Linked DNA regions of Drosophila melanogaster. The protein of the gene in region 2 purifies or fractionates together with the protein of the main gene of each other region. This does not show direct contact. Each region holds a gene or a part of one and is shown on either strand. Other genes may lie near its edges.

Region 1 (3,152 bases), on a different chromosome or scaffold from region 2:
TGTGTTCTCGTACATGGGTCAGCAGTTGGCCACTCGCAGCAACGACGAGACCATGAAGCTTTGGGATCTGCGGCAGTTCAAACAGCCGCTGCATACCTGGACAAACCTGTTCTCCCGCTACGACACAACAGATTGCTGCTTTAGTCCAGATGACCGTCTGCTAGTCACCGGAGAATCGCTTCCGAAGGGCCAGGCCGAAGCGAACCTGTATTTCTACAGCACTAAGAGCTACGAGGAAGTGCAGCGGATTCCCGTGTCCAACGCGCACGTGGTGAAAACGCTGTGGCACCCAAAGCTCAACCAACTGTTCGTGAGCTGTGGCAATGGAACCATTAAGTGCTATTACGATGAGCACCGCAGCATCCGGGGCGCCAAGCTGTGCGTAGTGAAGACGCATCGCAAGAGGCAGCCCATGGAGATGGTGGGAGTCTCCCAGATCATTACGCCGCACGCCCTGCCATTGTTCAGGCAGGAAAAGTCCCGTACCTCGCGTAAGCGGATGGAGAAGGCCCGTATGGATCCTGTCAAGTCCCAGCGACCGGACTTGCCCATCACCAGCGGTCAGGGCGGCCGCGTGGCCAGCTCCGGCGGCACCCTCTCCTCCTATGTCATCCGCAATCTGGGCCTGAGCAAGCGGGTGGACGACGACCAGGATCCCAGGGAAGCCATCTTGAAGTATGCCAAGGACGCAGCCGAGAATCCTTACTGGATAGCACCGGCCTACAAGCAGACGCAGCCAAAGGCCATCTTCTCCGAAAAACTACCCGCCGACGAGCCGGCCACCAAGAAGCCCAAGACAGAGGCGGACAAATAGGAAGTCAATCTATTTATAAGAGCTTAGATATGTTAATAAACTCGTTACGACGTAAGAACTTTAGCTTAGCTTAAAATACAAGTGTGTGGATCTCAGACCTCCTGCATTCGGTAGCAATCGGAGACGACCTTCCATTTATCATTCTCGGCGGTAACGATGAAAGTCTGCTGAAATTTGCGTAACTGCTGATCTGCGAACTTGACGGAGCCGCTGGCCATGATGAGGTAGGCCAGCTGGTTGGACACAGCCTGATCCACAATAGGCTGCGCGTCCAGGGTGTTCAACTGGTGGTTTGAGGATGGCAGCTCCTGAAAGTAGCTCTCGATCATCTGGCGGCCGATGGCCCCGTTTCCATTCCAGCTAAGCGTAGCATTGTCCAAATAGAGGCGTCCAATTTGCTGCAGGTGGAATCTATTTGAGTTTCGTTTTCCCATGAAATGCAGACTTTCAAGGCGGATCTCTACTTACTTGGCGTCGGTTGTCCACGGAGGCGTAGTACAGGCGTGTGAAGGTATCCGCCGTACGGGCGCAGCTCTCGACCTTGGCTTTCAAATCCTTTAAACAAATAGTTGCTATGCTAAATTGCTAAAAAACTAAATATTTTCAACTCACGCTGTCCATGTTTCCCGCGATTCTCGAATTAGAGTGACCGTCCTCGGGTGGTCAGAAAAAAACTCTCCAGAAAGAAAGAAACAAAAATATTACTACCACCATTTGAAATACAAAAACGCTACTAATCTACGTGAGTACCCTTAATATTTATTTAAAGTTTAAAAAAGTCAAGATGTTCAAACACTTAAAAACAAGTTTATTGCAAACATTTTCTGCAAATTGCCCGAAAAACAAATGATGACTTTTATTTTTCAAGTTGTTTATTTCTAATCATAATTTTAATTAACAATTAGACACAATTTAAAGCATAGCGATCACAATTTGAATTGGTAACCTAACATTTGAAGATTCCCTGTCGGAGTGGCCCATTGGGGGTCACTGGAAAATCGAGCGAGTCTAGGGCGACTACGAGGCACTGCGGCTAGAACTATGAGTATGGCTAAAACTAGCTAAGCTAAGACCTGTTTTAAGACTAAAGCCCCCCGACCTAGGCCTCCAGCCCCCGGGTGTCCTTCAATGGCTCCAGGGGCTGCAGGTTGACCGTCTTGTAGCCTCGATCCCGCCGGAACCAGAGCCAGTTGTCCCCGTTGAAATAGTCCTCGATGTGCTCCAGGCTGCGGCCCTTCGTCTCCGGCTGGAAAAGGCACATAAAGGCAGTGAGCAGGAAACTGGACACGCCGAAGACCAGGAACACGCCGCGCATCTTGAGCATGGCCTGCAAAGCGGGAAACTTCTTCGCGAAGATGAACAGAGCGACGTTCATGGAGGCAAACACTCCGCCGGCAGTCCGTCCGCGTATCCTAGCCGGGAAGAGCTCGCCGATCATAATGCCGGGCATCACCATCAGAGCCGTGTTGAAGATGATGTAGCCCAAGAGACAGCCGGCACCAACGAATACGTCGTACGACATTTTCGGTTGATCGAATCTGGCATACTGATAGACACTGAGCACCAGGCAGAACAAGCCGGAGCCGATTCCCGACACTATCATGATCCTGCGGCGGCGAACGAAGATCAGGACTACGCAGAAGACCATGCAGCAGATCACCCGGACAACTGCCGTCGCAATGGCCGCCTGCTTGGAGTCGAACTCCGCTCCGAACTCCGAGATCATGTCCACGGCATAGAAGATCACGATGAACGTGCCGGAGAACATCTGCAGCAGCGAGAACACGATCACAATGACCAGCGGCTTGATGGCCACGCGCTGGCAGCACAGCTGGAAGATGTTCTCGTTCGTCTTGGTGGTCACCCGCTCCTTGGCCAGCCTCTGCTTCATATCATTCAGCTCCTTCTGCGCACTGATCTCGCTGCCCCGCAGGAACGAGAGGGCCTGCAGCGCACGCTTCTCGTGGCCATTGCGGAGTAGCCAGGCCGGAGTCTCCGGTATAAACGAGATAGACACCATGGACAGCAGGGGCAGCACGTTGGCGCACCACGCAACACTACGCCAGTACATCATGGAGCCCAGGGAGTAGACCATTAGGATGCCGCTTGAGTAGGCCACATAGGGCGCGCCGATCAGCAGACTCCGCAGATTGGGTTCCGCCGTTTCCGCAATGTACACCTTCGAGAAGGTAAAATAAAATAATGAATGAAGGCCAAAATAGTAAGTTTATATAGTAAGTCTACATTAATCCTAATCCAGCTTATCCACGTTGACCATCAATTATATAAATGATACTATTACTATTACTTTCTGATACATGACCACCTTGAACCCAGC
Region 2 (7,218 bases):
GCTATGCAACTTAAGGCCAGAGTTTTTGGCAAAGGTTTGTGGGCAGTCGGGACACTTATAGGGTCGTTCGCCAGTGTGCCTCTGTATATGGGCCCTAAGATTGCCTCTCGTGTAAAAGGTTTTGTCGCACTGTGGACATTTGTGACCCTTTTCCTCGTCGTGGGTGTGCATATGCGACTTCAGAGTCGGACCGTGCGTATAAGCTTTCGGGCAGAGGGGGCATTTAAAAGGACGCTCTCCAGTATGACGGCGTCTATGGGTCGTTAGCTGGGCATTGGTACGAAATCCCCGACCGCAGAAATCGCAGAGGTGCGGCTTTTGTGTATCACCTTGCTCCTTGTGCTTGGCAACGTGCCTTGCCAACGCCTTTTGAGTCGAGTAACTCACTCCACACTCTGTGCACAGAAGCGATTGATTATTGCCGCCAACCGTTTGGCGCCCTCCGCCGCCGGGAATCCAGGGTTCATCTTGGTCTTCAGTCGAGCCCACTGTCCATTGGTCTGAATCCTCCCTTTCGCTATCAGTATTGTTATTATCATTTTCTTCATCAAAGGCATCTTCAAATGTCTCCTGAATGGATACTTCATCTTCCGTTTTAATATCGTTCATTGTTACTAAAAAATAAATTTAAATTTTAGCATATAACGGGCAAGTCTAGAATAGATTTTAGCAGTACAATGGAAGTTCTTGTGAAAGTGGATGACATCGAATAGACCTACTTTCAAAAACTTCTTGCAATGGTTCACTCTCCTGACCATTAGTTGCCTTTCCATCGGTTGGCTCATCGATATCAGTTTTTACATCAGGCCGATTAGCGTCCAATTTGGTTACATTTGTGTCCAATGGATCCTCGCAACCAACTATCTCGAAGGGTATTAATGGGTTCATAGTACCTCTTCTGCAATGGGATCTACTCAGATTTGAGTTTGATTTATCGAGCTGGAGGAGCTGGGAAAAGAACTGAAAACTCTGCTCACACTTGTGACGGAAGTGAAAGGCATTTTGAGCGGCCACCAGGCAGGTAGGACAGATCTTTTGTGGCATTTCATCCCGTTTCACGCGACAGATCTCCGGCAGAATTGAGTTCAACATTTCCCAAATGGGGGGATCAGAGATCTCCTTGGAGAAAAGGTCCACCAGTATGGATGAGTGTTCGGCGCAGGCTCGGCAGTTCTTTCCCATGCTGGCGTCCACTGATCTTTCCATTTTTCCCGATGATCTCCCAACCATAGAGGCCGGAATTTCAAAAGAATCAACAAATGTTGGGCACTTGCTCTCCTGCCAAGTAGTCAATGTGAACGTATTCGCACAGAGTTGTCAGCTGCATCCGATGATTACTCGATAGTCGATAAGGTTTCATATGCCATCTCCATTAACGTCGTGAGGTTAACTGTGACTGGGAACAAATCTGCGGCATTCAAAACAATGGTGTCGATAGGTAGGATTCCAATCATATTTAAATCAAAATGTATGTAAATCTATATTAAAGGCATTAACAATGAAAATAAGAATATTAGAGATAATTTTAATTTTAATAAATAATTTACAAATCAAGTAAAGTTACAAATCAGTCTGTATTATAAAAACGTTTAATTAACATATAATCTTTAACAAGCGTGCATGCAATGATTTAGGTATTAAAGGTTATCATTTTAATATTTATCTTCATATTTAAGTTGAAATTTGCTAACTTTGCCAACAGCTGCAATAATTACTTTCACTTTCGCTTTCACAGTCACAAGATTGACTCATCGGCTTAAAAATACCAGTGACTCGCCACGGAATCGCGGATATCGCTCATCTCTATCAGCTTTGAGCAAAATTAGTATCTTGTATTGGCCAAACAGACAAGCGAGCGAAGGCCTTTTTGTTGTCGTTTCTGGCAATGATTTAGGTCTTCATCAAGTGTTATTAAGCTAGGCATAAAGTTTTACCCATCGCTGGACATGGATATCCTGGACATCGATGAGGCACTAAAGGATGATTCATATATGTGAGTGAAACCACTCCTGTTGTTTTTGTTCCTGTTGTTGTTGCTGCTGCAGCTGCTGCTACTGCTGCTGGCACTTCACAGGCAGAGGCATCGATGCTATAAATACTCATATGCCTGGTACTCCTTGGCAGATTTCTGGCGGATAAGACCCACGACGATGTCTCCAACATATTGCAGCAGTGGAAGACGAACAATCAGCCGCCGTTGCAGCAATTGCACTTGCAGTACAACAACGAGGGTAAGCCTTTTCCACACATACCGATGCACCCGATCACAAACATACACACATGTGCAGCACATCATGCAGTTGCGCTTTCTAAATCAAATTTGGGTTAAACTGGCGGCTACGTTGACAAAGTTCAAGTCGCATGTGGGCAGCATTACTTGGCCAGTAGTTACCGTTGTCTTTCAAAGTGGCCGATTGCCATAATTGGCAACAGCGCCAATGTTATTGTTACGGTAATTAATCAAGTCTCAATACGCACACACACACACGCGTTCCCATTGCAAACAGCTGTGCGTGGTACGGCAATAATATTGAAGGAAAAAAACTGGCTATGCTAATATGGCAAGAATCTCGCATTATACGCAAACATTATTATATAAATCCAATTTACTTCCTGCCCAGCCAGCGAAAGTCAATCAAGCAATACGCAAATAAACTATTTGCGTACAATTAAATAAACAATTACCACCGAACTAAAGACGAGGATCAAAAATCGATTAGGCGATTTAATTTGAGTGAAATATTGTCATGCTGAGCTATTTTTAATGATTTTCCAAAGTGGAATGCCAGAATTCCAAATATTGCTAAAAATATAAGTTAAATAAAACTATTTACAACAAAGTTCATACTTAATAGTCATTCCTGTAAATGTATGCAATGGTTAAACTCAGCATAGATAAATATTTTAAATAGCTTAAATAATATATACAAAATATTCTTTTAAGCGATAACAATAGTAGAAGTGGAAGTAAGAAAATTACGTTAACAAACAACAATTACTTATAATTATATATGAAAGCTTCAGGGCGTTTATCCAGTAAGTTAAAAAATAGCTAAATGCTAACTTAACGGTAAAATATCAAATAGTGTGCTGAACACATCGCTTTTGCGAAGCGTCCTTTGGATCTTTACTAACACTAAAAAAATTGTAAACTCCCGGAGATTGCTAGTAGTGTGCACGGAATTTAATTACTGGGTTTATTTCCTCAAAAGATTTTGTAATTTTACTAGTTTCCTGAAAACTTTGCGATGCAAATATTTGCCACTTTCAAATCCCACGAGCCGGACAGCCGCTTGATCCAAAACTTCAAAAAGCACGTGAATTCGCAGTCGCCACTTGACGATTTGCGAAAAAATCTAAATGAAAAAAGTAAAATTCGAGAATATGTACAAGAGCTGATTGGAAATGAGCAACAAATGGGATCCGTGCTGGACACGATCTCTTCCACCGAAGAGGACCACCGCGTGGCCACTGTGACCGGATGGTCCACGGTGAACATCGCCAACTGCGCCGGCGTTTCCAATTCTTCAATTTTTGTGGCACTGAAGTGGGTGATGATGCCCATTAAGGTGGAGATATTCAACTTCAAGCGAAGTGGACCGGAAGATAATATGGCACGTGGACAATTTCTGTTGGACAACCTGTTAAGCGCAAATCGCCTAAAACGCTTGCAAGAGGAAGTAGCAGTTATTAACACGTGCCAGAAAATCGAGGTGCGTGTCACACCCGGTCTGCCCAAATCGATGATGTGTGCCCAGATAACAGACGAATTTACAACTGCCATTCAGGAGGCCCTTAGATCACGCTATGAGGTGGATTCACGCACCTTAGATCTCTCCAGGTTCCACGCCAGTCCGGAGTTGTCTCTGCACTTTTGTCCGCTGCATATGGTCAAGCTGCTAGAAACAGTGCTAGTTCTTTCAAACCATTTATTTCCCCATGTGACCAGCCTAGTACTGAGCAACAATTATTTGTGTTCCCTGAAAGCGTTTGCGGGAAATTCCCAAAGTTTTGCCAGCCTAGAGCGGTTGGACATAAGCGCAAACAGGATTCAAGATTTGGGAGAACTCAATTACATCAACAAACTGAGTTGCAAGACGATCTTCTTGGCAGGAAACGGTTTGGCCAAGCTAAGCGTGGACGTCATTCGAAAAATGCTACCACAGTTGAAAAATGTTCATGGCTGTGTGCAGTTGGGGGAAAGTACAGAAGCTGTTGATAATATTCCGAAGTCTCAACAACTTCAAGGCGGTGGGACTAATGGTTTAAAGTTTTGCCAGGACTTCATAAGTTCATACTACACTTTCTTTGACGATACCGAAGAGCGTTTCAAACTTAAGAAGTATTACGACGACCAAGCCATGTTCTCGCTTAGCGTGCCGGTACAACTAAATTATGTCTACGGCTACAAGCTGTACAACAGAAACCAGAAGCGCCAGCATTCCTCGTTTGCACAAAACGCCAAGCTGCAAGTGGGTAGAGCTGCGCTACTTCTCGCTTTAAGCCGCTTGCCTTTGATGCATACAGACTTAGAGAATGTCGGGCTAGACATCCAGGTGTTCACTTCGAGTCTACGCATCTTTACGTTGACGGGATACTTTAAGGAGATATCATCGGATACTCTGGAACCACGACGCTTTCAGCGCACATTCGTATTGCAGACTTCCAATAGCCCCGGCTGGTTGATAACCAACGACATGCTGTGCATAACTTCGACTATGCCGGACCCGAAAAAAACCATTAAATTTAAACCAGAAACTAATATGATAAATACCGACCCGTCGGTAGAAAAAATAAATAAACCTGCAGTGACAGTTTTAGACAGAAAGTCTAAAGAGGATGTCCAAATTTCTAGACCCCTATCAGGAAAAGAGCTGAATCCTCTTAATAAGGCAGTGCAGAAAATGAGCCTTTCCCAGGTGGACCATCTTCCCAGTGAGAACTTCAACGATATGCCACCATTAGTAGCCATTGGTCCATTGACTACCGGGCAAAATTGTTTGGACTATGAAATGGAGGATATTTTAGTGGCCGATGAGAATAACTTTGACTTGGACATTGATGATGACATCCTGTTTGGATGCGATGACCTTTAAATATGAACAAAAAAAATTAAACAATTCAAACAAATAGCTTTTAGAAACCTTGCACCTATCGGTTAAGACACCATACATTACTATTCATTACTTTAACGAGTGCAGAACTCAAGGATCTAATTTATTTTTAAACTTTTATATTTTACGAAAGCCTTCAAAAACAATTCGAAAACCTTTACTCGCCCAAAGCGTCGGAATCTGGATTTCGTAAGTACAAATAAGCAATTGCAACTAATTTGTATATTAAAGTATCTTATTTTTTCAGAGCCAAAATGGAGCGGGAAATGACAGCGGTGTTGGAACCGGGTCGGTCGCGGGTGCCCCAGCAATGCTTCAGCTGGAAATTGGCGGTCTTGTCACGACGAATATGCACAAATCCTTCCTGCAAGACACCTCACCGCCGTCTTCCATCTGCTCCTCCATGAACACTGAACGGATGAACAACTCGCTAATCACCTCAGCAGACTTTACGAACTTGAACTTCCTTCAATCCACAATTGGTCTTGAGCAGGATCCAAACCTTACCACTACGCTTACCAACCAGACAACTGATAACATGGGAATCGGCGGCAGCATAGGCGGATATACGCTCAGTGACATGATCCGGGATCGCAAGGCGCTGGAGTCGCTGACCATGTGTGAGGACGATGGGACTCTTATCAAAGACTCGCACATCGGGCAAATTGACGAAATATCGTTGACACTGAGCAAAACTGCTTCCGGCTGCAGCACAATGGACAACAGCACAGACAGTATGTCCATTCCCCTGGCCGCAGATCGAACGATGCCCGTTGTGGTATCGGCAGTTTGTCCTGCCCTACAGCGTACCATGATTTTAGGGGAGGAGATGATCGGCGACACAACTTTTAACCTCGTGGATAGCCTTACAACTTCTGCGCTGCAATCAGAGTCTGAGTCTCTGCCAGTCGATGGAAATGCGACATTCAAAAGACCCACTGCGAGTGCTACTACAGCGGACGAAACCCAGGTGCTAACAGGTAGGCAGATGAATACTACCTTCACCGACGGTTGCAACACTCCTGAGGGCCGCTGTGAAACGCCTGAAAATATTGACAGGAAGCTGGCCTTGCTCACCATGGAATCCTCCACACCACTTACAACAAACATGCGCTCACACTGCTACCACAATAACAACAATAATAACAAGGCAGGATATACCCCTACCCTAAAGGGAAGGGGAGATATGAACCTGTCCCCAATTGTTGGCGCAACACCGCAAAAACCAACTGGAACCGCACCAGGGCGATTAAACAACACCTTTGAGCCCGTGGCAAAAACAGCTCCGTTCAACGGCGAGAAGTTCGTGCTGGACACTATGGAGCTCTTGGAGCAGATCGAACAGCCGCTGGATGGCACTTACAACCTGCAAATGTCTGAACAGCACAGGCAGATGCAATGCGTCATGGACTTGGCTGAGGCGGAAGTGGAGATGCTGGCCCAGCAGGGCGACGAAGAGCAATTCGAGAATATGCTTGCCGAGCTGGGCAAGGTGAATACCCTAAACGAGGAGCAACTGAAGATGCAAAAGTCGCTAGATACCATCAAACGGCGCTTCCATAGAGATGAGGCGGAGGCAGAGGAGCGTGAAGAGGAATTGCAGCAGTCGGCAGCCGAAAAGGTGGACACCCCAGTTCTAAATCAGAGCCACTCCAGCAGCAACAGCAGCGGCGGTGGTGGCGAACGGCTGCTCAGTCGCCGAAGTCGTCTCTACGACGATGTCAACCTTAGTGCAATGCACGGCAGTAATGGAAGTTCGACCAGCACCAACTCTGCCTCATTCATCGTCCAGCGTAGAGATATGCCACAAGTGGAGCAGCCTGCACCAGATCCTGATCCCGAACCAGCGGAAGAGCCTCCAAAGTCCCAGGTGACAGCAGAGATTGATCCGGCAAGCTATAAGCTGCCGGAGCGAAGAGAGCGGGATCGCGATCGCTTCAAGACCATTAAGATTTCGAAAGAAATGCGACTGCAGCCGGAAATTATTGTGCCTTGTATAGACGATGAACCACAGCAACTCGAGGACGAGCAAAAGCAATTAGTAGAAGATGTTCGGTACGAGGAGGATCAGCGACAGGGTTCACCACCGGGTCGACTTTCTCGT

Evidence for each region.
Region 1: the proteins of Nxf3 (region 2) and Nxt1 purify together in Drosophila melanogaster (affinity purification with western blotting; 2 studies listed by BioGRID, with this or other methods). This does not show direct contact.

What each region holds. Positions count from the first base shown.
Region 1 is NT_033778.4:23,810,513-23,813,664, forward strand, and holds Nxt1 (NTF2-related export protein 1), read right to left. Parts: upstream 1,463-3,152; 5' UTR 1,436-1,462; coding exon 1,427-1,435; intron 1,370-1,426; coding exon 1,283-1,369; intron 1,226-1,282; coding exon of another isoform or gene 1,213-1,225; coding exon 907-1,212; 3' UTR 815-906; downstream 1-814. Other genes in the region: CG5543 (uncharacterized protein), read left to right, coding at 1-814; pippin, read right to left, coding at 1,914-2,993.
Region 2 is NT_037436.4:13,963,400-13,970,617, forward strand, and holds the start of Nxf3 (nuclear export factor 3), read left to right. Parts: upstream 1-1,803; 5' UTR 1,804-1,946; coding exon of another isoform or gene 1,947-1,993; intron 1,994-2,124; coding exon of another isoform or gene 2,125-2,231; 5' UTR 2,232-3,248; coding exon 3,249-5,096; 3' UTR 5,097-5,247; coding exon of another isoform or gene 5,248-5,303; intron 5,304-5,361; coding exon of another isoform or gene 5,362-7,218. Other genes in the region: Meics (meiotic central spindle), read right to left, coding at 1-614, 720-1,230; ssp2 (short spindle 2), read left to right, coding at 1,947-1,993, 2,125-2,231, 5,248-5,303, 5,362-7,218.